7 linked regions of the Coturnix japonica genome follow. The protein of the gene in region 2 purifies or fractionates together with the protein of the main gene of each other region. This does not show direct contact. Links are inferred from orthologs where the notes say so. Each region holds a gene or a part of one and is shown on either strand. Other genes may lie near its edges. The genes, in order: BAZ1A, SMARCA5, HMGXB4, MYO1C, BAZ2A, RBBP4 and CHRAC1.

Evidence for each region.
Region 1: the proteins of SMARCA5 (region 2) and BAZ1A purify together in Homo sapiens (affinity purification with western blotting; 8 studies listed by BioGRID and IntAct, with this or other methods). This does not show direct contact. The link is inferred for Coturnix japonica from reciprocal best matches to the Homo sapiens genes SMARCA5 and BAZ1A.
Region 3: the proteins of SMARCA5 (region 2) and HMGXB4 purify together in Homo sapiens (affinity purification with mass spectrometry; 3 studies listed by BioGRID and IntAct, with this or other methods). This does not show direct contact. The link is inferred for Coturnix japonica from reciprocal best matches to the Homo sapiens genes SMARCA5 and HMGXB4.
Region 4: the proteins of SMARCA5 (region 2) and MYO1C purify together in Homo sapiens (affinity purification with western blotting; 3 studies listed by BioGRID, with this or other methods). This does not show direct contact. The link is inferred for Coturnix japonica from reciprocal best matches to the Homo sapiens genes SMARCA5 and MYO1C.
Region 5: the proteins of SMARCA5 (region 2) and BAZ2A purify together in Homo sapiens (affinity purification with western blotting; 3 studies listed by BioGRID and IntAct, with this or other methods). This does not show direct contact. The link is inferred for Coturnix japonica from reciprocal best matches to the Homo sapiens genes SMARCA5 and BAZ2A.
Region 6: the proteins of SMARCA5 (region 2) and RBBP4 fractionate together in Homo sapiens (co-fractionation; 6 studies listed by BioGRID and IntAct, with this or other methods). This does not show direct contact. The link is inferred for Coturnix japonica from reciprocal best matches to the Homo sapiens genes SMARCA5 and RBBP4.
Region 7: the proteins of SMARCA5 (region 2) and CHRAC1 fractionate together in Homo sapiens (co-fractionation; 5 studies listed by BioGRID and IntAct, with this or other methods). This does not show direct contact. The link is inferred for Coturnix japonica from reciprocal best matches to the Homo sapiens genes SMARCA5 and CHRAC1.

The regions. Positions count from the first base shown.
Region 1 is NC_029520.1:32,602,264-32,605,763, forward strand, and holds part of BAZ1A (bromodomain adjacent to zinc finger domain protein 1A), read right to left. Parts: intron 2,142-3,500; coding exon 1,975-2,141; intron 1,318-1,974; coding exon 1,222-1,317; intron 798-1,221; coding exon 659-797; intron 224-658; coding exon 77-223; intron 1-76. UniProt on the Homo sapiens protein: Regulatory subunit of the ATP-dependent ACF-1 and ACF-5 ISWI chromatin remodeling complexes, which form ordered nucleosome arrays on chromatin and slide edge- and center-positioned histone octamers away from their original location on the DNA template to facilitate access to DNA during DNA-templated processes such as DNA replication, transcription, and repair.
Region 2 is NC_029519.1:26,870,098-26,874,382, reverse strand, and holds the start of SMARCA5 (SWI/SNF-related matrix-associated actin-dependent regulator of chromatin subfamily A member 5), read right to left. Parts: upstream 2,801-4,285; 5' UTR 2,686-2,800; coding exon 2,563-2,685; intron 225-2,562; exon of another isoform or gene 210-224; coding exon of another isoform or gene 207-209; intron 121-206; coding exon 46-120; intron 1-45. UniProt on the Homo sapiens protein: ATPase that possesses intrinsic ATP-dependent nucleosome-remodeling activity.
Region 3 is NC_029516.1:47,646,101-47,649,600, forward strand, and holds part of HMGXB4 (HMG domain-containing protein 4), read right to left. Parts: coding exon 3,493-3,500; intron 2,106-3,492; coding exon 2,030-2,105; intron 1,067-2,029; coding exon 157-1,066; intron 1-156. UniProt on the Homo sapiens protein: Negatively regulates Wnt/beta-catenin signaling during development.
Region 4 is NC_029534.1:4,011,093-4,013,456, forward strand, and holds part of MYO1C (unconventional myosin-Ic), read right to left. Parts: intron 2,159-2,364; coding exon 2,061-2,158; intron 1,847-2,060; coding exon 1,747-1,846; intron 838-1,746; coding exon of another isoform or gene 811-837; exon of another isoform or gene 463-810; intron 1-462.
Region 5 is NC_029544.1:1,717,421-1,721,346, reverse strand, and holds the start of BAZ2A (bromodomain adjacent to zinc finger domain protein 2A), read right to left. Parts: upstream 2,801-3,926; coding exon 2,607-2,800; intron 2,098-2,606; coding exon 1,989-2,097; intron 1,904-1,988; coding exon 1,802-1,903; intron 1,709-1,801; coding exon 1,498-1,708; intron 1,409-1,497; coding exon 1,347-1,408; intron 1,173-1,346; coding exon 1,107-1,172; intron 1,027-1,106; coding exon 835-1,026; intron 760-834; coding exon 505-759; intron 76-504; coding exon 1-75. UniProt on the Homo sapiens protein: Regulatory subunit of the ATP-dependent NoRC-1 and NoRC-5 ISWI chromatin remodeling complexes, which form ordered nucleosome arrays on chromatin and facilitate access to DNA during DNA-templated processes such as DNA replication, transcription, and repair.
Region 6 is NC_029538.1:4,587,403-4,591,394, forward strand, and holds the start of RBBP4 (histone-binding protein RBBP4), read left to right. Parts: upstream 1-1,192; 5' UTR 1,193-1,327; coding exon 1,328-1,343; intron 1,344-1,803; coding exon 1,804-1,951; intron 1,952-2,519; coding exon 2,520-2,665; intron 2,666-2,894; coding exon 2,895-3,068; intron 3,069-3,252; coding exon 3,253-3,368; intron 3,369-3,533; coding exon 3,534-3,694; intron 3,695-3,818; coding exon 3,819-3,945; intron 3,946-3,992. UniProt on the Homo sapiens protein: Core histone-binding subunit that may target chromatin assembly factors, chromatin remodeling factors and histone deacetylases to their histone substrates in a manner that is regulated by nucleosomal DNA.
Region 7 is NC_029517.1:131,125,106-131,129,339, forward strand, and holds the start of CHRAC1 (chromatin accessibility complex protein 1), read left to right. Parts: upstream 1-1,434; 5' UTR 1,435-1,482; coding exon 1,483-1,656; intron 1,657-1,824; coding exon 1,825-1,951; intron 1,952-3,319; coding exon 3,320-3,465; 3' UTR 3,466-4,234. UniProt on the Homo sapiens protein: Forms a complex with DNA polymerase epsilon subunit POLE3 and binds naked DNA, which is then incorporated into chromatin, aided by the nucleosome remodeling activity of ISWI/SNF2H and ACF1.

The sequences.
Region 1 (3,500 bases), on a different chromosome or scaffold from region 2:
GAAATGACACAGATCATGCAGTTTAAAGTTAATTCCAGCACAATCAGGTTTTTAGCAGTAAAATTAAGGACCTGACCTTTGGTCTCAGCATCAGCTATTTGATCTTTGGCCACTTCTTCTTCCTCTTCGGCCATTGCCTGAAAGATGGCAGTCAGGAAGAAAAACAGCAGTTCACATAGTGGGCCTTCAGTGTCATTTCCTACAAGAGCTTCCTCTAAAACTTCTGTGAATAAAGTTTAAGAAGCGTCACTTTTGCCACAAAGTTGGAAAACAATTACGTACTGAAGAATTAAAGAAAACAAACATCTTTCCTTCAGGTATGATAATCCAGTCACCTTCCCATAATTTACCACAAATATTCCTGCAATAACGCTGTAAGAACTGACAATGCATAGTTTGTTTTACTCTTGCAGTTACAGATTAAGAAAGCACAAGGAGACAGTAATAGCAAATAGATTAACAGCTTTTATATTGAAATTATTTTTATAAACACTGCAAAAGTCGGTGAGAAGAAAAACTGATAGATGTGCATGTATAAGCGTTGCTATATTGAAGTTGCACAGACAATCCTGTAGCAGCAGTATTATGGTGCATCTAAAATGCTTGGTAGAAGGACACCACAAAATTGAGGCATTTTGCCACATAAATGACAACTTGCCTAGAGTCACTCCTTCAGGAAATTCATCTTGAAGATCAAAGAGTTCCCCAAAAGCATATAAAAACTCCAAAACCATCAAAGCATCACCAAAGATCTCAGGAGGAAGTCTCGTCTTCACTGGCATTGGAACTGGAAGTTCCTACAATCCAAAAGGAAGACATTAATATTGTATTTGGTCCCTACAGAATACACAGCTGATTAAAAACAGTCCGTGGTTCTAAGAATCATACCTATGTGGCTTTTTGTGGTTGTTTTTCACAGAAGATAGATACAAACAATCTATTACCACAACAGCATTTTTGTAACTTTTATAGCACGTAATTTGGATATACATCTTTTGAGATACCAAATTATTCTACGTCATAAACACAACTTTTGACTGCGTTTAAAGGAACTCAATTCCACGACAAGTTAAGAAGATTGGGTGTCAAGATCTCTCTTTTAAGACTGTACTATTTCACAAGAATTTTGAATTTAAGTTTTACAGAACAGTCCAGGCAAGCAAAAATAAGCAGATTCCCTATGAAATACAAGCTTGTCATATATTCCAAATTCAACCCTACCTTAAGATCATCACACTCCATATCTTCTCTAGGCTTACTCCACTGCTTCAGGTATTCCACATATTTTCTTTTTTCCTCACGCAGCTTCTCTCTTTCCTAAAGAAAGTCAGAATTGTATTAGAGATACAGTCGGATCATTCGTTAGAACTTAACTCACAGTGGAGGGGGGGAGGGGGGGGTAAAAAAGAACGTATTTCAACAGAAAGCGATGATCTATTTTTAACCTTCTTACAGAATGTATTAGCAAAACTGAGGGTGAGCTTCAGTAATACTTCCTTGGATTAGACTTTTTTGTTTTCAAATGGAGGTCAGACAAAAAAAAAAAATCTAAAATAAAAGCATTCATGAAAGTTGCCATAAAAAAAGACTGTCAAAACAGGTACTGGATATGACTGTAGTAGAATTCAGTGGCATTAAATAATTTCATTCCATGTAAAGCGACAATTTTTTTTCTTGTTTTTGTTGTTTTGTTTGGTTGGTTTTTTTAAACCAATTTTCAAAGATAAACTACGAGGAAATCTAAATCTAGTATCAAGGGAGAACAAAAAATATATTTTTGTGAATTAACAACCTGAAATACAGAAAGATATCTAGAAATGCAGTTCCATATCATGTCTTACAAGTATCTACTCTTCTAAAGTGCATTTCTAGGAACTAAAAACAGTTAATGGAAAACAATGACACAGACTGCAAACAAACCAAATGAGCTAGATGGCCTGTTCCCATATAAAACACATTCTGCAAATACATTACTTTTTCCTTTTCTATTTTGAGTCTCTCTTTCTCTTCTTTCCTCTTCATCCTTTCCTCTTCCACAATCTTCTTTAGTTCTTCTTTCTTTTTTTCCTTATCTTCTTTCTCTCTTTTTCTGGCTTCTATAGCATTTGCCTTCTCTCGTTTTAATCTAGCTTTCTCAAAAGCTACATAGGAGGAAAAAAACAAGAATTTTTTCTTTCACAAAAAGTTAAATAAAATTAACTGTGTTTAAATAGATTGATCTTTCTTATAATTAACATATGAAAAACATATTGTCTTGAAGACTGAATTGTTTCTATGCCAACCAGAAATTCAATCACTTGAAAGTTCTTCAGAGAATCAGAATTTTAGGGCTTATGTATTATACATGTTTTTTCCCAAGGTTGTAGTAAAGTTGTATTTCTCAGCTCTTAATGAGCATACAGACATTTATTACTTTCTTTCCCTATCAAAAAAGCCAAAAGATGATGACTGATTCCAAATGCATAGATTTACAGAAGCTTATTAAAGCATTTCAGAAGCAGCGATGGCACATACACATGAAATATCTGTTACAGCAAAATCCTTTAAAGAAGTTAACTTTCAATATTTAAAACAATTATTACTGAAAAGTCGATTCATCTGAAATCCAGTTATCAACTCAGTGGCTTTTATGCAAGTTTTACTTCCGTTACACACTAAGTTGAAAATTAATTGGTAATAAATGTTACTGATAGATTTCTTTGTAGCTGTATGCAGGGTAACAGCAGGGCACATGCTTCCACTTTCAGTGGACAGACAATATCTGTCAACTGCCACACAAATTAACAAATAAAAGGGATCAATGAGATTACAATTTTAATTGAATAAGTAGGCTAGAATCACAAGTGAATGACAGTGGAAAAAAAAACCAGACCCTTACTTTTAATAAAAAGTGCTTAACAATGGAAAAAAAGGCTTTTTTTTTTTTTTAAACTACTTGTGAAATTCTGAAAAAGGGCTAGATTATTTTCTCAGCTATCTATCAGACATGCCAGTCATGATTCTCATCCAGAATATAAAAGCAATGACACTTATTATCCACAGCCTTCTGTGCACTGAGGAGGCTGATTCTTCAGCGTCCTTGGAATTTTGCTACCATTTCACATTACTAAAGTACTATAGCACCTCTTTTTGAGAGGCTTCATGAATGTTACTAATTACCATTCCAATTAAGTATCACTTACAGGTAAATACGTTTAGCTTAATATTAACTGCATTAACACAGTGCACTTTCAAAATCTAAACTTCTGCAATTTTTAGTTCACCACCTTAAGAGACCAATGTAGTTGAACCGCAAGTCTCACACATACCCAGAGTTTAGTGAAATAAGTAAATAAAAGCAGGAAACAACAGTTCTAACCACTGAAGTGACATTCTGCAATTGAATAAACTGTCACTACATTTCATTTTCCCCTTGAAATATACAACCCCAAAAACAGTCTTAATTATGGCCAGCTCTCAAGCCTGCAAGAACAGGTTCCACTAGTCACAAGACCTCAACT
Region 2 (4,285 bases):
GTGCTTAAGACAGGACAGCTGTATGGATTTCTCAGTGTTACATACCATTTTCTCTTCATATGTAGGATCTGCTTCAGAGATTTCTTTTGGTTTTCCTGGTGATGCATCATTAAAAGATTCCTAATAGGAGAAAAAATTAAAAAAAACTTATTTCCGGAATAAGAAAACATACCTATATAGAAAAGAATAAGCTCGCTGCAAATTACCATCTATCCACATCAGCCGGCACATCCACCTTTTGCTGCTCTGATGCAGTTAGCCTCCTGTTACTGTAATGTGACCCGGGGCTGGATCAAAGATCCCTGCCGCAGGGTGTCAGACAGCTCCCTCTGACCCAGTTCAGCTCTATCGTAACCACATCCCACCCAGGTGGATGAGGGACCAGCTGTGGTGCAGCAGCTCTTCAGGCCACCGTGGAGTGCTGAGCCAGCGCCCCCACAGCTGGCTCTGGAGAGTGCTGGGGAAGAACTAGCTCTGGTCCTGAAGGAAGAGTGCTTCCCTCATTTTCCCTTTTTCCAGCATATCCCGCTTTCTCATCATACTGTATCAAAGGAACAAATCTAACTAAGAACCTGGGCTGCAGCTGTCATGAACGCAGCATGGGAATTTAGAGAAACTGCATTTTTTCCATTGTTTGGTTTGAAACGTCAAACAACTGTTATCACTGACACCAGGGCTGGTAACAGGAGACCATGCTGGCAGGAGGGACAGCCCTCCCTTCAGCCCATCTGTGCCAAATCCTTCACCTCCTGCCTTCATCTGCTCCTTCCAACCAGTGTGTTTTTGTCCTCATCTTGCCCGTTACACCAGGTCAGTTCTTTCCCCATCATCTCCCACATATAATTATTTCACCTCCTGCTCCTAGAACCCAAACGACAGGGCAACCATTCTCTGCTAAACCACAGTAAAACAGCACATTATGCACTAACTCCTGAGAGGCTCAGAAACAGAAACAAGCAGTGCCCTCAGAGCCACCGTTAACCATCTGCTCGGCTGAGCCGAGTGAGAGCTGAACGCGGCTCTTCCCAGCCGGCGGAGAACAAAGGCACAAGTACAAAACACCGCTAAACAAAGGGAGGCAAAACACGGGCTGTTTGTGGGCGGCTCCTCGCACAACTCCGCAGGTACAGCCCGTGGAAACGGAACAGTGCTAACACAGCTACCTCCTTCACCAGCCAAAATACAGAGAACGTAAAGTCACGGCTAAGGGTCTCCTAACCTTACACCCAATCTTTCTATCCTCCACCCGCTGGATTTCACAGAATCACAGAATGACCCGGGTTGGAAGGGACCTCAAGGATCATGAAGCTCCACTCCCCCTGCCTGGTAGGGCCACCTATCTTCCACATTTATTAGACCTGTCTGTCCAGGGCCACATCTAACCTTGCCTTGAATACCTCTACAGATGGGGGATCCACAACGTCCCTGGGCAGCCTGTTCCAGGACCTCAGCACTCTCCTAGTAAAGAACTTCCCCTAACATCCAACGTAAATCTTCCCTCTTTTAACTTAAAACCATTTCCCCATGTCCTGCTTTAGCTGACAGCCGGCCACCTCTGTTCTGCAGACAGGGCTGTTGGAACTTCCATGCCAAATTCCCCTTTCTCCATGTAGGCCTGCAGCAAGGCACACCGCAGCACAGTGCCACACTACAGCCTGAGCCTCAGAGCAGGAAGCCGGCGTGCTTCTGAGGTGTCCGGGACTACCAAGAGCCGCCCAACCAGAAGCTCTGCGGCACGCACAGCTCTTCCCTTCCCCACGAACCAGGAACTGATCGGCGGGCCCATGAGGAGCCCGCGCCTCGCAGCTCCCACGCGGCAGCACAGCCCGGAGGCGGCCCGTTCCCGCAGGTCGCGGCAGGACCCGTTTCGCACAGCGCCCCGGCTCCTCGCCCAGCCGGAAAACACGGCGCTCAACACCGCGGCGCTGGGATGGCGCTGCGATGGCGGAGGGCGGCGTGACTCAGAGCTCCGCGCGGGGAGCAGGACCGACCGGTTTCCTCCTATCGCCACAGACACGGCGCCGCGATAAAACCCGCATCCCTGGGACCCGGGAGGAGCCCGAAATAAGCACCTGCCGCCAAAACAGCGCTAAAAAGCTCCGCAGCAGCTCCCTGCACCCACAACCCAAAAAAGTTACAGACCGCTTCACAGCCACCAAGTTTCAGCGCCGCCAACTCGCTGCCAACACCGAGGCGCCCGGCGCCGCCGGGGAGCGTTACTCGGAAGCAGCGCGCGGCGAACCCACGCGGGAGTTCTGCGGGCTCCGTGCGGGGCGGCCACGGGGGCAGGACCCCATCCCGCCTCGGGAGCGGACACACCGAGCTCCGCCGCGGCAGCAGGGCAGTAAGGCAGCAAGGCAGCAAAACAAGGCGGCAGGCAGCAGGGCAGCAGGGCAGCAAGGCAGTAGGCAGCAGGGCAGCAGGCCGCCCCCCGCAGGCGCCGCGACGCACGGCGCGGCCCCGCGCCCGCCCCTCCATTGTCTCCCGGTCCGCCCCGCCGCCCTCGTGGCGGGCACCTGCCGCCGGCCCGGTACGCGGGGCCGCCGCCGGCACGGCGCTCACCTCCATCGCGGCGTCGGCTCCGGCAGTGCCGGCGGCAGCCGTTCCCGAGGCCTCTCCGCCTCCGGCCCCCGGCGGCGCGGGCGGCTCGTCCGGCGGCGGCGTTCCCTGCTGCCCGGCGGACATGATCGCTCCCCGCACACGGCGCTGTGCCGGGACACGGGCCGGGCCCGCTCCCGGCCGGCTGCGCGCTCGCGGCCTGGCGGCGGGGTCGGGCTGCTACGAGCGGAGCCCGGTGCGCGGCCGGCCGAGGAGGCCCGTCGTCCCGTCGTCCCGCTGCCGCCCCGGCTTTCTCGGCGCGATCCCACCAACCAGGAACCGAGCCGGCAAGCAGCTCTCGCGAGAGCCCGGCCTCAGCGGCGGGCCGCCTCCTTCCTCCTCCTCCTCCTCAGCCGCCGTTGGGGCCGCTCGTCTCGTTCCGCCTTCGCGAGCGCGGCCACGCAACAGCCGGGTTGGGGCGGAGCTGCCTCGCGCGGGCCGGTAACGGCCGCGACACCGCGTGTAGAGGGACAGCAGCGGGGGAAGGGGCAGGAGCAGGGGCGGGAGCAGCGCGGCGGCGTCACGGCGGGCAGGAACAGCCGGATCGGGGCTCGGATGGGGCGCACATGGTGATCCTAAACAACGGGCACTCACGGGGCCAGAGCCCGCGACACAGCGCTCCGGTACGGGTACACATGGCTACACCAGCGGGTAATGGAGGCACGGAGCGAGCGTGCACGTAGAAAACTGCCTGGCCCTTGTGCTGAGCAGCCCTGAAACCACACAGGGAGGAGTGACGCAATTACAGCTGTGCTGTGATTACAGCTCTGCAATTAGATGTCCAAGGAATGGAAGGAATTTGCTCTGACACGGCCCGGCCATTGTGTCACCCGGTGTCTGAAAACAAGAATAACGTGGCAGAAGTGTTCATCACCTTCTCAAACCTCGTGTTTTCCGCTGCTTGTTTTCCCTCATGACAGAAGCCAGTCTCAGGGAGGCAACTTTCGTTTTTCAATATAAGCAGCTGCAGATCACAGCGATATAATTCATTTTTGCTACTGGTACCAATCTAACAGGACCCTGGTTGCAGTTTTTCCCTGCTCTCCTCTGCTCTTAGGGCTCTTCTAGAGCTGCCTCCAATGATGCTGCACCGTCTGCATACTGCAGGCAGGACAGAGGGCTGGGATCCCCACACAGTGCCCACCTGATTTCTCTGTCTGCCAGGAAAAGCACTCAAAAGCACAGGTAGAAGATCCCTGGTGAAGAATAGTGCAGCTTTTAGGAAGAAATCGGGCACTTGGGAAGAGATGGAGATGTTTCAACACCACCATTTATTGGCTTAAAAATCACCAGGTTGGATCATACCAGCTGGTGGGAGATGAGAGAAGTTGTAGAGAGAAGGGAGGAAAGTACCATCTCCACCCCAGCCTTGTTCATCCTGGTCATCCAACAAGGCACTTTGTGGTGCTGAGATCCTTGTGGGCCACTAAAGATGTTCACCTCTATGGCAAAATTATTTTTTCTTCCTAGATACTACCTGGATAGTTTATCTGTTTCTCTCGCTTCCTCCTTCATCATAAACAGAGAAGAATTTTTGCTTCAAAGTTAACAAGCAATACAGCATCAGCCCCAAGTATTTCATTCACATAATGTCAAAAAAGATCCCAGCCAAAACCTCTCTACAGAGGCAGGAAATGCAGCCATTTACTCGTCCCCTCCCCACAGCAAGACAGGGGAGAGAGATGGA
Region 3 (3,500 bases), on a different chromosome or scaffold from region 2:
TCCTTTTCTCTTTCTCTTTCCTTTTCTCTTTCTTTTTCCTTTTCTCTATCCTTCTCTTTTTCTCTTTCCTTCTCCTTTTCTCTTTCCTTCTCCTTTTCTCTTTCCTTTTCCTTTTCTCTTTCCTTCTCCTTTTCTCTTTCCTTTTCTTTTTCCCACTTCTCAGCTTTTTCCTTCTCCTTTTCTTCCTTTTTCCTCCTCTTCTCATTTTGTCCATCTGAGTGAAAAACAGCAGGATGAGGTGGAGGAAGAACATAGGGAGTGCTGGAAGGAGGTGGTGGTGACACTGTTATTTCCGTTGCTGCCACAGAAGAGTGCCCAGAACTCTTTTTAGACTTAGAGTGCCTCTTCTCCCTGTGCCTCTCCTTGTCTTTTTTTTTCTTACTTTTTTTTGACTTCTTTTTCTTCTTAATTTCCCGGTAGGAGTCATCTATCACTAGCTCACCAGCCTCCAATTCCCCACCAGAAGAGGATCCTGATTCTGGTGGTGCCTCCACACCTGAAATCTCATACTCACTCCCATGGCCTTCTGAAAAAACAGATGTGTCAGCACCAAAACTCTCTGAAGGGGGATGTGAGTCTGGAGGTTTGTGCTTCTTCCGAGATGACTTCAGGAAGCCATGCAGTTCGTGACCCGGATGAAATGACCCTTGTTCATCTCGAGACGATTTCTTTGAGGATTTTTTTGAGAAAGAATCATCGTCTGTAGCACTGCTTTTCTCTTTTGGCGAAAGGATAAGCTTCATCTTCAAGCCATCAGGCTCACGAAGGGTAAGTGTCTCTGTGTTCACGTAAAGAGGTTTCATTTTTTTAGTTTTGTGGAAGCTGCCATCGTCCACTGAGTGCTCTGCACTGCTCCCACTCATCTTCTTCTTGTGGTGCTCCTTTCTGCTTTCAGAATGTCCAGAGGAAGAATAAGATGATTTTTCAGAGGTCTTCTTTGAAGACTTAGAGCTTGTGGATAAAGGTGTGGCGATAGCCTTGAGTAGATCCATGTTTTTGTCAGTGGAGGACGGGCTAGAAACTGCTTTTTTCTTCTTCTTTGATGGTAGATCCAAAGATGAAAGACCTGAAAATGGTCAAGAGAACTGCTTATCAATACAATTCTCTTAACGATACCATTACACAAACCAAAAGTGAAGTGGGAATCCTGCAATACTTAATATTACAGCTAAGTGATTTTCATCTTGGCTGAAGGAGAAACTTGCAGTCAGCTCAGTGTGCCCTTATAGATAACAATTCAAGAGCTGTAACACCAGAGCTGGTCAATCTATTTAATGAAGAAAGACAGAATGGGAAAGTTCTTGCATTTCATCAAAGTTTGTATTCTATTATACAACAGCATAATTTGATAAAAATACGTCTTACTAAGCCTGAAATATTACAAGCTTATAACATCACTTTGAGCCCTGGAGGGATCAATGAACTGAGAGCATAACCATTTTCATTCTGAAAAGAGATTTTTTACTAATTTCAGCTTGCAAAGAGATTCCAAAGACCTGGTTTTCTTTTTACACTGGGACAAAAATAAATCTTAAGCCTGCTAAGATTTATGAACAGGATTGTCAATTTATGGGCTCATTGTGTGAATAACGCTTCTGTATACAATCTGAACTCAAAAGCAATCATATTGTATTCTAATACATCCTATTTTTATAAATTCGGATAAATTAATTAGTACTATCTGCAAGTAAGACTACAGCTTGTAATGCAGTGGTAAAAAAGAATGCAAATGCCAAAGAGGAAAGCATGAGTTAGAAAACTACAACTTGTCAGTGAAGAGTGGAAGATCTCTGCTCCAACAACAGCAACTTGTTAAGCTAAACTCTGAAAACATCATTGAGTGATCTTTTGCTGTTTGGTGCAGCAGAAACCTAATCAGTCAGGCGTCTGACTGCCTGGCCTAAGATAAGTTGGTGTACTTTCCCCCGATAAAGCGCTAACCACAAAGTTTGATGACACTGGTTTAACAGTATCCTTTTCTCAAAGTCAGTATTCATTATCTGCTTCCCCTGTCTCATAGCTGTCTTACCCCGGGAGCAGAACTCATCAGAGGAATGCTTCCTCTTCTTTCTGTGATGTTCTGTCCCCAAAAAGAGTTCACTGTCCTAAAAGAAGAAGAAAAAATAAATGAATGAAAAGCTGACAAACAAGAGGGAAATAACATAAGATTCACATGGACTGCTGACATAGGTAATAATCTGTGGGAGGTATCAAGAAATACTTGTACTACTATAATGCCAAGTAAGCCTACGTATGAACCACTATTCTTATTCTAGGTGCTAAATCAGCAAAGAAAACATAGTATGTCACCAAGAGCCCATAGTGTAGGTTTAAGGTAAAAGGCAAAAAGCATGGTATGGATACACAAGAGAACAAAAAAATGCAGTTTTAGAATAGGTTTCTGCATGCCAGCCAACTAAGAAGCATCAAGCTTTCTGTGGAAACTACAGTACAACAGGACCATAGGAAACTGAAATACTAATCTCTATAGATTAGACTAGAGGGATATAGATAGATCTATAAATATAGAGGGATCCCTCCTCCAGCGAAAGAATTAATACACAAGAATACATGAAAAAGTACATTTGAGAATGTTAAGAAACAGACAATGAAAGACAGCACTTGGGCATCAGCTGATGAGTTGTTAAAAGACAGACATCCACGTCTTAATCAAGCTAAGAAATAAGCGTGCATAGGCTGTCAAGCCTTAAAAATGAAGGTGAGCAGTACATATTTAACATGCTGGAGAAGATAACAGAAGAAAGCACAGAGGTGACAGTCAAAATGATAGGCCAGAAAATAGACCTTAGTAGCTCATGTAGCCCAATTATTACATATCTCTTGACAAATTTATGGTCTGAGAATGAAGCTCTTCTATAGAATTTCATCTATGTGGCAGAAGATTTTTATTTTTAAACTAGAACTTTTCCAGATTTGAAAGCATTAAAAAAAATCACAAGTAGTCATTGTTGAGCTAACAGCAGAAACAGCTCAAAGAGGAAAGTCTTAAAGAAACTTAAGCTGTTGCTACATGATTTCAAAGTTAAGGCCCCAAGGAAACCGGGCAAATTTATCCCTCTCAAGAGTTATCATTTCAGACTATCTGCAGAATCTGGAAGACAACAGCGCATCACTTCACATTTCATTCATACTTTGCTGCCTATTTATGCAACTATAGATTCTAAGTATCTTACTTTTCGTGTGAACAGTCATTCATACTATCTCAGTTTTGCAGGGTAGTACATGAAGTCAAGGATAAGATACTACAGCTCTATTTTCTGAGGAAAAAAATCAGAATCCGTTTTAACTGGGACCGACCCCCTCCATTCACCCAGTAAAGCTACTGAACAATTCAGGACACAATTAACAGTTCTTGCTTTCTTCTACAGGAATTTTCCTAAACAAAAGAACTTTTAAGCAGCCCATCCCATCTCGTCTTAAGCTTTATACGCTTTCTTGCACCTTCAAAGTTTTCTCTACAGACTTTCTGACCTGAGTTG
Region 4 (2,364 bases), on a different chromosome or scaffold from region 2:
GTGCTGACCTCTGCAGTTTGTGTTCCTTAGGTTCTGTTTGGATGCAGTTCTGATACTGCAGTATAAAAACATGGCTGTGCTGCCAGAAATGGGAGAGGAGGCTGCAAAAAGAAAAGCTGCTGTATCCAGATGAGTTGGTGATGTGATGGGTTCATCAGGTTAATACAGTCTGTTCATAAACTTAAAAACAACAGAAATTCCAAATCTAAAACATACGTTTCCACATCAGTGCCGTTTCTTGTAGTAAATCTCTCATATTCAGCTATAAAGTATTTACAGGGTTGGGGTTTTTTTTACTCATTTACACGATATGGCTTTAATATTGTAACATAAAGCATTGCGACATCTCAAAATCATCCATCAAACACTCTGAATATAAAGTTTGGCATTTCGGTGACTGCTGACAGAGCAGCGTTTCTTCTGCTTGTGCTTTTGGATGATGTCAAGCACAAATTTTGGTCGTTTCCATCAAGGCTTAAAACTCACATAGAGTCAGAACTACCTCTCAAAGCCCGGCCAAGCAGGTTTCGTGAGCCACGGTTTCATGGCCGTCGTGTTGGACCCTTGTTGTTTGCCACTAAGGTGAGGAAGAGAAGAGAAGGCCTTTCTTTTGGAACTTTCATGTTAAGACAAGAAAGCAGGATGCGTTCTGTGGGGATGCTGGAAGTGCAGGTCTTTGGTAACGATACACAATGAGCAAAGCGAGGGAGGCTGCAGGGGGTGTGCTGGGATCAACACCCAGCCAAGGTACGGATGGATGGGGGTAGTCAGACTGATGGAGGAAGGGGTTCTGTGATGGTGGCACTTCTATCATCGGGAGTTCAACCGAGGTGCAACCTGCAGGAGGAGACAGACAAGCTAGAAACAGGTGCTGCAATGGCTTTAGCTCCTGAATATCCTTAAAGCTCACCAAAGACTGGCCTGCAGGACGAGCTATGGGGGATGTTACGGGCACATAAAGCTCCCTCTGGGAATACTGAAGCTCAGCAGGAAACAAGCAGGTGCTGGCTGTTCAATGGGAGACGTGATGCTGCTCCCTTAGGCTCAGCACTGCAGGAGTGATCTGTTCTGTGGGCAGTGGGAGGGAGGGCAAAACTGGAAGAATGATCTTAGGGATGGTTTGAAAGTGCTGGTGGAAAAGGGATGCGTTTCTTCTTAGTTTGGTTTGCTGACTGCAAATGGAGAGAGGTGGGATCCTCACTGCAGTGTGCTTGAGCAAATTCAATCTTCCTGTGTAGAGCTGGTGGGTGTCCCATGGAGCAGGGAAAGCCTCTGACAGGACTGTGTGTGTGGGCTTTACAAGGCAGGTTTGTTTGAGCAAAGTGGGAATGCTGAGTCCATTCCTGACAGCTGCCATCCTGCAGAATGGCAGGGGAGGGGATCTTTCAGCACTGATGCTGTAATAAGAGGCTCTGGATTCATTTCTGACCACAAACAATTCCAAAAGGGATGAATTGTTTTTCTTCTTGTGTTTTTAAGTCCTTTAAAACTTGACTTGCACTAAAGACAGAATCGTGTAAAAGAACCCAAGTGATTGATAGGACTGTTACTTGAGTTTGAGCAAGCCTGGCAGTGTGCTGGGACCAGAGAAGTGCAGGACTCCAACTGGGGAGAGGGTTCCTGGAGCAGGAACAGTGTGTTCAGCAGGGAAATCATGGCACGTGTCTCTGCAGTGAATGTGGCCTAGTGACAAGGTCTGCGTTCTGATGCACTGTGTGTAACTTTTCTTACCAGTCCTGTACTCACCACTGTTAAATGGCCGTTCTTGGCTTTGGCTATGAGCAGTTCTGAGCCTGATATAAAATCGATGACTCCTTCCTTGCCTTGACCGACTGTGAATTTTATGCTGCAGAGAAAAACAGGTGAGAAACATGATTTAGAATGTGTGGCTTCACTTTACCGGTGCTTAATGGCTATAGGTGAACTTCAAGGAAACGGAGGCTTAGTTAATTATATTCTGATGACATACTTAATGCCTGTAGCCCTGTAATGCTAAAGCTGAACCAACACAAAAATGAAGCAGCTCCTGAGCAGGGCTGGGCCTGCACGGCTCCACTCACCTGCCCTGGTTGATGTTGATGTTATTCACTTTGTCTGCCCTCATGGCTGTCTTTGTCAGTGTCTCTATCACGTGGTCGCTTTGAAGTACAACGTCGCCCTAGGGTGGAAAACCAATAGTCTGTGATCGTGGCTTCTCAGTGACTGCACCAAGAGAATTGGTTTGAAGTTCTATCTCCAACAGGTTGGCATGGAAAACATCTCTCGGGTCACACTGCACTGACAGCAGTGACTTCATTCACAAGGTAACAGCAATGGGGGCAAGGGGACACGACCACTCCTGTCAGTCACTGGTGAATCCCATTT
Region 5 (3,926 bases), on a different chromosome or scaffold from region 2:
ACAACGCAGCACCTCCGAGACGGTGTCACGGTTCAGGCTGATCTCTGACACCTTCTCACCCAGGATCTTAAGGGACTGTGGGGGAATAGAGAGGGGTTGGGGGGCAGCAATGGGGGAGTCAGCTCTTGGAAAGGGTTGATAAGAGCAAAGCGAGGGGAAATGGCTTGAAGGTTGAGGTTGGATGCTGGTTCTTTGCTATGAGAGTGGAACAGCTGCCTAGAGAAGCTGTGGATGCCCCATATATCCCTTAGGGATGTTCAAGGCCAGGTTGGATGGGGCTGCTACGAAATGGGGAGGTTTGGACCCTTGGGGTCAATTCCAACCCAAACCATTCTGTGATCTGATGGGAAAACCCAAAGCCTGGAGCGGGGCGCCCCCAAATGGGGCCGTAATATGGGCAGCCCTGAAATGCAGCTCTCAACCTGCAGCAGCTGCAGCCTCAGGGCATCACAGGGCAGGGGGTGGGGGGGACACAGAGGGGTCGGACACATATCAGGGCATTACCTGGCAGTAGGGGGGCAGCCCTGGGTCATAGAGCGCAGCCTGCAGCAGCCTCACCAGCAGGTCCTGCACGGCGCCGGCGCTGCCGCCCACCCCCAGCAGCCCCTCCTGCATCGTGCTCAAGCTGGGCACGTCCCTGCTGGGCTCGAAGCCCAACACTTTGCCGTAGCTCTGCAGGAATTCCACCACCGTCAGGCAGTGGGAGAAGGCACGGCTGGGCAGCACCAGGCCTGGGATGCGCGAGAAGGTCGGAAGAGGCTGTGGGGCAAAAATGGGGCGGTCAGGGCAGGTTATATGGGATCAGAGCTGACAGACCCCCTTCCCCATCCCCACCTGGTGGTCCGCCAGGCACATATCCTCCGTCGGCTTCTTCATCTCCTCCAGGATGAGCTGCTGCCGTCTCCTCTCCTCCAGGCGCCGCTGGGCCAGCAGCCCCTTGTCCACCCTGCGCGGCCCTTTGCCCTTCTTCTCCTTGGGCCGCCCCTTGTCTTTGCCCTTCTCCATTTTGCCTTTCTTCTCCTTGGCCTGGAAACACAGCCCAGGGTGGGTGGCCCCTCTCAGCCCCCTCTTTACCCTCCCTCCCCCCACGGCTGCTGCAGACTCACCTTGCATTTCTTCTTGGCCTCCTTGGCTTTGGGAGCTTTCGCCTCTTGCTTCTGCTTGTTCTTGGCCTGGAAGGGAATAAGAGCAGCTCAGGGATGGGCAGCAACATGGGGACCCATTGGATGGGGCAGGGGGCTGCTCTGTGCCCCCCAGATGGGGAAGGGGGAGGCTCCATGTCAGCCACCCAGCCAGAGGGGCCTTAGGGCTGCCCCCAGCCCTCCCCAAGCCCTATTCACTCCTACCTTCCGCCTCATTTTCTTCTTGATTTTGCTCATTTTCAGCTTGTCCTCATCACTGAGCACCTCTATGACAATGGAGAGAAGGGGGGTTGGTGACAGCAAGTGGGGTGGGCTATGGGGTGGGCTATGGGGTGGGCTATGGGGCAGGGGGTACCTTGGGCCTCCAGCCTCTTCAGCAGCCTGGCATCCGTCTTGCTGAGCAGATCCACCATTCGGGCCTTTGGGGGCCGCCCGCGGCCTCGCTTCACAGCTGGCAGCTCTTTGGGTTTCACCTTCTCAGCGTTACGGGGTCGCCCACGTTTCCCAGTGATGGCCTGGATACGGGCTGGGATCTCCTCGGGGCTCAGCTTCACCCACTGCAGACCCTATAGGAACAAACCCCATTAGCCCCAATAGGGAGCGACCCACAGCCCCATAGCATCGCATAGGGTGCTATAGGGCACTCTAGAAGTGCTCACCTCCGGTGTATCCCGCTCCTCATAGAAATCCCCCACCGGCATCCGTGGGCTGAAGCTGAAGTGTTCCCGACGGACGTCCTGCACCACGTTCCTATTCAGATACTGAGGGGGGGGGGACAGGAGGAGGATGAGGGGCTGTGATAGAGCTGGGGGGGCTGCTTAGAGGCCCCCCCCCCCAATACTGTACCTTGATCACCTCCGGGAACTGCTTCATCCTCTTCCCACACGGCCCATAGTACCACGTCTCTCCCTGCCACCGGTGGTTCCCCCTTTTGATGCGCACCTCCCTCCTCCACCTGCACGAAGGGGGGGGCTCAGCATGGGGTCCCACACAGCCAGGGGGGATGTGGATATGGGGGGGGGCAGGGGGGATGTGGATATGGGGGGGGGCATCACAGGGGGACGTGGATATAGGGGCACTATAGGGGGATATGGAAATATGGGGGCACAAGGGGGTATGGTGGAAATATGGGGGGACTATAGGGATGTGGAAAAAACAAAAAACAAATGGGGAGGCAACCAGGGGATGGGGATATGGAGCGGCACCAGGGGGGGTTTATGTTTGGATTGATGGGGGGGGGGGTCACAGAGGATGTGGAATATGGGGCATTATGGGGGATGTGGATTGGGGGCATCATGGGGGGTATGGATATATGGGAAGCACCGGGGGACGAGATGTGGTTATGATGGTGGGGGCATCAGCGAGGATTAGATATAGGGGACAATGGGGGATTGGATATGGAGGCACCAGGGCTAGGATTTGTTATGGGGCACTATGGAATTTGATTATAGGGCACCACGGTACCCGTGCTGCAGAGGGGAATCGCACCTCCTCGGGGCGGACGGGGTGGTGGCATGCAGCCACTGCGTGGGACGGTTCACCTTGTAGGGCAGAGGGAGGGGAGGGATGGGGGGCCAGCTCCCCTCAATGGGCGATGTGGGGAGGGGCACCCAGGCCTGGAGGTGAGAGGGCGAGATTGGTGGTGGGGGGGTTTCCATCCTCACCTCCCACCGATGTGCTCAGTGGGCAGCGCGGGTGTCCGCAGCTCTTTGCTGTCCCCTTCTGGAGCAGCTGAAGCCTCCGTGCAGCTGTCAGCCACCTCCTCCTCCTCCTCCTCTTCTTCCTCCTCCTCTTCCTCAGCAGAAGGACACGGGGATTCGGGCTCCAGTGCAGTGCTGAGCTCCAGAGCCCCCGATTGCTCCGGGCCATCATGGCTGCTGCTCAGCTCAGGGCTGGTATCTGCAGGGCCAAAGGCAGCACCATCACAACCACCATCCCTTCCGACCCCCCCCCATCCAGCACCCAGCTGGGGGGCTCGTTTGGCTGTGGCCCCCTAATACCATACAATGTTGCCCCACCATTACCGTGCAGGGGGGCGGTGAGCTGGGGCTGGGCAGCAGCGGGGGCCGAGGCGGGGGCTGGCAGCAGGTTGAAGGGAGCGGCAGCGTTGGGGGCGGGGCTGGCAGCAGGGAGCTCCAGGGGGGGGGGGCGGGTTGTATCATTCATGGGCTTTCCAAGGGGATTATCGCGCCCACAGCTGCGTCTCATCCATCTCGCATAGAGGTTCACCGTTGTCAGGGTCTGAGGGGATTTGGCAAAGAGCTCAGCTGGGGCAGCAGGCGAAGCCAGAGTGATAACATGGGAAGGACGAACCCCATACAACACACACATGGCAGGTGAACGACCCCCCCCCCCCCCCCCCCCCCACCCCCCCCCTCCTCAAGAGGGCTCCAGGACCACAGAGGGAGTTAATGGAGGCCGCAAGCCCCCGCCCCCGCCCCCTCGGTTGGAAGCGGGGGCCCAAAATGGCCGCGGTTTAGCGGCGAACAGTTCGGCCAGCGCGGAAAGTTGAGGAAACCAGCTTCGTCATGCGCCGGGGAACGGAGGGAGCGGAACCGACGGGCAGGAGCGACCGGCCCCAAAGCGACCCCGCCCCTCCGCGGCCTGGGCACCACGGGGCGGGGCCCGGCCCCCCATAATACACAGCACCCCCCCAACATAGCAAACAACCCCCCATTAACAAAACATCCCCCCCTCCATACCCACCCCCCCCCCATTAACAGGGATAACCACCCCCTTCCCAACCCCCCCCCCCCCCCCCCCCCATTAGACAAATACCCCCCC
Region 6 (3,992 bases), on a different chromosome or scaffold from region 2:
CTTCCAGCTGGGGCTCTCAGCAGCAGCCGATGGGGAGCAGCTGCACACAGGCTGTGCATGAAAACAAGATTAGAAGCACAGAGTTCAGTGCTGTGCTGCTCACACTGCCGGCACACAGCAGTGACACCCAGCACCGCACCGACAGCGAGCACTGACAGTGTGCAATGCACCAACAGTGTGCACTGAGAGCATGCACCAACAGTGTGCACTGACAGTGTGCAATGCACCAACAGTGTGCACCGAGAGCATGCACCAACAGTGTGCCCTTCAGCCTCTGCAGGGAGGAACCCTGATCCTTCCGTGTGAATCACCCTCCAGCAATAAAATACTGCATCTACGAGGACATAATTCTACCAGCTCTACAGTAAGTTACACGGGTAACTTTGGCTTTGGAGCTTCACTGCACAGGGTACACAGCCTGCTGTGTGTCATGGCACATGATGGGGCACAGCACATTGTTATGGGGCACAGCACCTTATGGGGCACAGCACGTTATGGGGCACAGCACGTTGTGATGGGGCACAGCATGTCGTTATGGGGCACAGCACATTATTATGGGGCACAGCACATTATTATGGGGCACAGCACATCGTTATGGAGCACTTCAATCCCACCCAGTGGATCCCACCAGTCGGTTCCACACCGACTCTCCCTCGCAAACACATCAGACCGGCTGCAGCGCCCCATTAACTTCAGGGTAATTATTTCCCGACATCCCACGTGAGTCCACCGTGGCTTTTCCCATAGGAGCAGCTCTCACTGCCGGCCATGGGACGATCCCACACGGGATCTCCGGGTTCTGTTCGCAGATCAGCACCGAGACCTGCGAGCTGGGAAACGCTCCTGGGAGGGAATAAGGCCGAAAGAGCACAGGGCTGAGTGTGAACGGAGCCACAAACCGGGAACGGGGCGGGTCACAGAGACCCATTAAGCGACCGGTAACCGGTAGGACAGAGCTCAGGGGCAGCTCGGGGCCGGCTCACGGTGCCATCCTGCAGACCCCCCCCCCCCCCGCGCAGACCGCACTCACCGGGGCACTGTCCCTTTAAGAGCCGCCCACCCGCTCCGTCCGGAAATGGCTCCGCGGAAATGGCCGCCCTCACACGTGACCGCCGAGCGCGCTCTCCTGCCCCTCGTTCCCGCCCCTTGCCTCTCTCCGATTGGCGGAAGCCTCCCGGCGGCGGGCGGGGATTGGTCAGTGTTGGCGCGCGAAGGGGTGCGCGGCGCGGGAGCGGCAGGGAGCGGGGGCAGGAAACAATAGAGCCGCGTCCGGAGCGGAGCCAGCAGCGCCCGCCTCGCGCAGCGCAGCCTCATCCCGCCGCCCACAATGGCGGACAAGGAAGGTAAGGCCCGGCGGCGCGGCCTGGGCGCTGCGGCCTTCACTCGGCTCCGAGAGGCCTCAGGCCTCACTGCCCGCCCCCCCCGCCTCCATCGGCCGGCGCCGTGCGCAGTGATGGCGGGGGGGCTCCGGCAGGGGGCGCTGGGCCGTGCCCTGGGGCGGGGGGCGTCCCGTGCGGCCTGCGGGGCGCTGGGGGAAACAGCAGGGACCGGCCTGTTACAACGGGTTACAACGGGTCGCTACGTTGACACTGCGAGGGGCTGCGGGCGGGGGGGGCGGCGTGTCCCGCAGCAACGTTGGGTGATAAACAGCTGCGTGTGGTGGGGCCCGTTATTGAGTGAGGGCCCCGTTATTGAGTGCTCCATTATTGAGTGCCCCGTTATTGAGTGCCCACCCATCTCTGTGTGTGTTGTGCCTGTCCTGATAAACGCTAACATCCCGCATTGCTTTCATGAACCCTTCAGCAGCCTTTGATGACGCAGTGGAAGAACGTGTGATCAACGAGGAGTATAAGATATGGAAGAAGAACACACCCTTCTTATATGACTTGGTAATGACCCACGCTCTGGAGTGGCCCAGCCTGACTGCGCAGTGGCTCCCCGATGTGACGAGGTGAGGGTGCGTTCTGGATGTACTCCTTGCAGAAGTAAGGCTCCGTGTGACTCCTTGTCTCGTCTGCAAACCCCAGAGACACCTTTAATGTGGGGAAAGTGCTGCTTATCACCAAGAAAATGCTTCACGTCTTTGATTTTGATGCTTTTCTTCTTCCAGCTTCGTTCTCCTTTTTGAAATGCAAAGCCCTCCTCCCCACAGAGAACTAAATATAGTTTCACTTTAAGCACTCTTTCATCCTAATCTTCCACAACATTCTGCTTCCAAAGAGTGTATATGCATCTCCAACTGTGCGCTGGGGAGGCTGTTAGAGTCTCTTAAAGGAAGGCAGGGGAACTGCTGGAGGTATCTGGGGGTAGGTGCTGTTATGCTCCAAGAATTGTGATTTGAGATCTTGAGTTGGGAGGAGAGATTCTTCTGGAGGAAGAAATACAGTGTCAGAGCAGGAGAGCAATGGTAGTTTCTAAGGATGTTACAGGTGTCGGAAGCTGTTAGCAGTACATACCATATTCAGCTCAATGTTTGTGTAAACTCCATGTGTTTCTCACCTGAGTTTCTTCTCTCACAGGCCTGAGGGCAAGGATTTCAGCATTCACCGGTTGGTCCTGGGGACTCACACTTCAGATGAACAAAATCATCTCGTGATAGCGAGTGTGCAGCTGCCTAATGATGATGCACAGTTTGATGCCTCACACTACGATAGTGAGAAAGGAGGTAAGGGAGCAAAGATGTCAATCAGGTGGGGCTTAAACTCTGTTTTTCCTCCACTTCTTAATGGTTGAATCCATTTTTCTGCATGCTAAAAGTTCTTAACAATCTAATATTAGCTTTTCTTCTTGCCAGAAGCCTGGATTATGCAATCTGTATTGTGATCTTTGGGCTTCTTAGAGTTATTTGTAAGCAAGACAATGCTTACTTATGTTCTTTATTTTTTCTCCCACAGAGTTTGGAGGCTTTGGGTCTGTTAGCGGAAAAATTGAAATTGAAATCAAGATAAACCATGAGGGAGAAGTGAACAGAGCTCGTTACATGCCACAGAACCCATGCATCATTGCTACAAAGACTCCATCCAGCGATGTCCTCGTCTTCGATTACACCAAACATCCTTCTAAACCAGGTGGTTGGAGCTTTGTCACCTTCATGCTTCAGAGCTACAAAAATAACCACAACAGCCTTTTCTTAAGGTTGATGGGGTGCAAAAGAGGCTGAAAAGTTTTGTGGGTTGCATAGCGTGTAACTTTAATCCTTGATGTGCTGATAGTGATTCTAAGCATCGGAGTTCTTACACTGCCTTTTTACAGACCCTTCTGGAGAGTGTAACCCTGATCTGCGTCTTCGTGGACACCAGAAAGAAGGCTACGGGCTGTCGTGGAACCCAAACCTGAGTGGGCATTTGCTTAGTGCTTCTGATGATCACGTGAGTGCTTTTAAGTGTAGCTGGGGTGCGATCTGCACTTTGTGTCCCTTGACAAAGGTCAGGAATGTTTCTGTGTTTGAGGGGATGGAGGTGGGGGAGTGCAGAGAATTCCTGTCTAAAGATACAATTTTTATTCGTTTTGGTTTTCCCTTTTTTTTTTTAAAGACCATTTGCTTGTGGGATATAAGTGCTGTTCCAAAAGAAGGTAAAGTGGTGGATGCAAAGACCATCTTCACAGGGCATACAGCTGTAGTGGAAGATGTCTCCTGGCACCTGCTGCACGAATCTCTTTTTGGATCTGTTGCTGATGATCAGAAGCTCATGATGTAAGCGGGGTGCTTTCTTTAGAGGCTGAACATCTCAGTCCATTTTGCCTTCCCAGCTGCTCCCTGGTCTGCCCGTAAGGTGGGGTGTAAGCCTTCATTCCAGGTCTGTTCCTTCTGCTTACAGATGGGATACGCGGTCAAACAACACCTCCAAACCCAGCCATTCCGTGGATGCTCACACAGCTGAAGTCAACTGCCTTTCTTTCAATCCCTACAGTGAGTTTATCCTGGCTACAGGATCAGCTGATAAGGTAAATGTTTGTATTGAATTTGGAGTAGGAGTTGGTGTGTCATGTTG
Region 7 (4,234 bases), on a different chromosome or scaffold from region 2:
GTTCCAACATGGCCAAATATTCTATTATTCCAGCTGTAAATTGGAGTAGTTGATGTTTTATTGTCTCTAGGAGATAATCAGATTGTGACTCTGTAAACACAACAGTGTAGAGCTTTGACATTGCCATTAAGCTACTCAATCTCCTGGTTGAATTCATTCCAAGTGGTGGAGAAACTGAGAAGATGCTTAAATATGTATCTCGCTGTCATAGTAATGTCAACTGTTTCCACAAGGTGTCACAAGACTACAAGGATCAAACAAACTGAGCCTGATCGATACATATACAGCATCATTGTACATAACACTTCACTTTGGATATAATCTACAGAGTGATTTCACCAGTGTTGTACTCTGAAGTGAATCACGCAGTCCAAGAGGTTTTGATTGCTGTTGCTTAACTGTCAAAGTTGTCTCCAGATACGGTGATGCTGGACCCAAAGCCAATGAACAAATATATATTGTTGTGCTATCGCTGTATTAAGTTGCTGACAACTGTTGAAGGTGCCACATTTTACCCAACAAGTTGTGCACCCATCCAAACCACAGGCTGTGCAAGACATTGCTGACCATACCCACAGCCATTCCCCATCCACCTGCAGCTCAACACAGAGTGTAGGTGCTACATATATGTGGAATGCATTCATAAAGTCACCACCGCCATCATTACTTCATAGTTTACTTATGCTCTCCACACCCAGCACGCCTACAAGCGCCAGGATACCAGACAGCGCTCCCTGCTATTGGGCTGCAGCAGCTTAATGAGGCGTTTAGCAACCTGTGATTACACTCATGACTCTGTAGCCGCTGGCCTCTACTTGGATTATATTTAGGAAGCGCCTATTTGCCATTATAAACGAGTTCCAGGCGCTCAAGCAGTATGAGACCCTTGGTTGCGGGGTGACCTCATTGCAGCCTTTCAATACCTGAAGGGAACTGACTCCCAGGAGGGGAGTAAACTCTTCGAAAGGGCTGACAATAGCAGGACATGGGGAAATGGTTTTAAGTTAAAAGAGGGAAGATTTAGGTTGGACGTTAGGGGGAAGTTCTTCACTAGGAGAGTGGTTAGACCCTGGAACAGGCTGCCCTGGGAGGTTGTGGATGCCCCGTCCTTGGAGGTGTTCAAGACCAGGTTGGACGGGGCCCTGGGCAACCTGATCTAGTAAAGGTGTATGTTTGGTGGCCCTGCTGGGCAGGGGGGTTGGAACATAATGATCCTTGAGGTCCCTTCCAACCCGGGTCATTCTATGATTCTGTGAGACCCGCTCTGAGGGGCTGTGAGGAGCCGCCATCCCGCCCATAGCACCAGAGCCGGCAACGGCCGAGCGCGGGGGCTCGTAGTCCTCCCGCCGCCCGGTCAGCGCTCGGCTTCACGGGAGCTGTAGTCCCTCCTCCTCCTCCCTCCAACGGAGCTCGGGTTCCCTCTGTCGGTCACGGACTACAGCTCCCAGGGGGCCGAGCTGCTGCCGCCCATTTCTCGCTACGATGAGGGGTGAAAGGCCGGGGCCGCGCCGGGGGGGTAAAATGGCGGCCAGGTTGAGCGGCGGGGAGAACCGGCTGGTGTCACTGCCGCTATCGCGGATCCGAGTCATCATGAAGAGCTCGCCGGAGGTTTCCAGCATCAACCAGGACGCGCTTTTCCTCACCGCTAAAGCCACGGTAGCGTCTCCCGCTTTCCCTCCCCTCTCGGCCGGGTTGCGCCTTTTCCCTCAGCGCCACAGCATCCAGCGCCCTGTATATACCTGCACTTTAATTTTTTATGGCTTTGATTGGGAGTTAAACTGCCTTTTTTATATCCGAGTCACTATTATTTGCTTTCCGTTTTAGGAGCTTTTCGTTCAGTATTTGGCGTCGTACTCCTACAAACACGGCAGAGGCAAGGAGAATAACGCCCTCACCTACAGCGACCTGTCTCACACCGCAGAGGAGTGCGAAACCTTTCAGTTCCTTGCAGGTATCTGTAGAGCAGTGGTAATCCTGTGTGTAGTTTTGTAGATCTGCTGCACTTTAGCCACTCTTCCACTCCTGCTTTTGCAATCACCTCTGCTAGGTGCCCTTATTATGTGTGCAAAAAGATGTGGAGTTGTTAGAGCAGGTCTGCAGGAGGGCCACAAAGATGATCAAAGGGCTGGAGCACCTCTCTTATGAAGAAAGGTTCTTTAGCTTAGGGAAGAGAAGGCTCCAGAGGGACCTCATTGCAGCACTTGAATGGAGCTTACAAGCAGGAGGAAGTCTGACTTTTTACATGGTCTCAGCGATAGAACAAGGGGGGGGGGGGGTTAAAACTAAAAGAGGGGAGATTTAAATTGGATTTTTATTAATTTTTATTTTATTATTACTTTTCTTATTTTTTACTGAGAGGGTGGTGAGGCACAGCAACAGGCTGCCTAGAGAAGCTGGAGATTCCCCCTCCATGGAGGGGTTCAAGGCCAGGTTGGGTGGGACCCTGGGCAGCCTGGTCTGGTGGGTGGCAGCCCAGACCATATATAGTTGGAACTAGATAGGCTTTTAAGGTCTCTTCCAACCCAATCTATTCTGTGATTCAAATCAAACTCATAATCTACATTGCTGAAAACACCTATTTGTGGACAGGGATTTCTCCAGTGTTGCAAAATTATACTGGGGTAATTAGTGCTCAGTGTATTGCCATAAGCGTTTCTAACATGCCAACAACATTTAAAAGCTTTCAGCTTGTAAAACAAGACCCAAAAAAGATGTGACAAATTACATGGCTCAAAAAGCATTTAATTCTGCAAATCCTGTTTGTTGAAAATTATGCATCCTATGGTTCCTCTCTCTTTTTTAATGCACATATTTACATCTGTACGCACATGTGCATGCAGACCTTTCTCTTGTTGTAATTTATTGGTAATGTTTCACTCTGAAAGGGCATGGACATAGGATAGAGTCTGAGAATGAGATATTTGATGGCCCTTGTCTCAGGGCCATCGTTACTGCCCTGAATGAGCATCTTACCTGAACACAGTAATCAGGTTTGTCTAGGACACAAGTAAGGCAGCTGTCCTATTGAATCTCTCAAAGGCTGTTGAGTAATTGAGCATCCCATTTAACATCAAACAAATAACATTGCTTATAGTTAAAAAAGAAAAAAGGAATTACATCCACTTCCACTTGTGATACATCTGTACGCCAGGCTAAATTAACTGGTTATTAACTGAAATGTGTTAGTTGCTTTGGTTTTGTTTAGTGCTGCTCAGTCCCTTCTAACCTCTGTGACTGTGTGATCCTGTATGAATGCAACACTATGAAATAGGCAATGTAAGTACTTACACTGACTAAAAGAAGCCATTCTCCCTTCCAGATATCTTGCCAAAGAAAATCCTAGCTAGCAAATACCTAAAAATGCTCGAAAAAGAGAAGCGAGGTGGAGAGTTGGGGAACTGTGATGAAGAGGATGATGATGAAGAGGATGATGATGAAGCTGTGGATGAAGCTGTTGGATCTTAAGGCTAAATGGGAAGCTGCTTCATAATTGATCCATTTTTTTTTGTTGCGTAAAGGATGTTATTTTTGTGACTGAGAATCCAGATGCTGGATTTATTTATACACTGAGCCATCTGCTTTTGCTTTAAGAAGTTTAAAAACTGAACTGCGTACTTCCTGAAGAATGGAATTCTTCCCTCAGAAACGTGGTGACAAGAGAAGCACTAATGTAAAGCTGACAGCAGAACTTGCTCAGATGAATGAGAATGACTTCTTCAGACAATCGTTTTCCAAACGTACAATTCCTCACAGGCAGCTCTCAGTCCAAAAGCTCTTTCACTCTTTAAAGGGAGCTCTTTCCCATGTTGTGTTTCTCAGGTGAGGGGAGGGGTTTTACACAGGATCTGCTCCCCCTGGTCCTCTTCTGCTTGGGGAGCCAGGAAGCGATCCAACCCTTCCCCTGTATTCCGGAACAGTGGCAGGGCATTAGCAGTGGACCAAGCCCGATTTGAATGAGTGTTCTGTTTTGATTTTGATTTAGCTTTAAAAAAAAGAATAATAATAATAATAAAGCTCTTGCTGTAATGCAGCCTAAACCGGCACATCCGCACAGAAGCTGAGTAGAGGACGAGAACCATTCCAACAGCGAATGTGTTTCAGTGGCCGCAGTGATAAGAAGTAGATGTGGTGGATAACAGCATCAATGTGTACAAGATCCTTCCTCTGTAATCAGCTCTGTGTGCCCGTGGTGCTCTGATAAAATACGCTGAGTGAAGTCTGTTAAACGTGGATT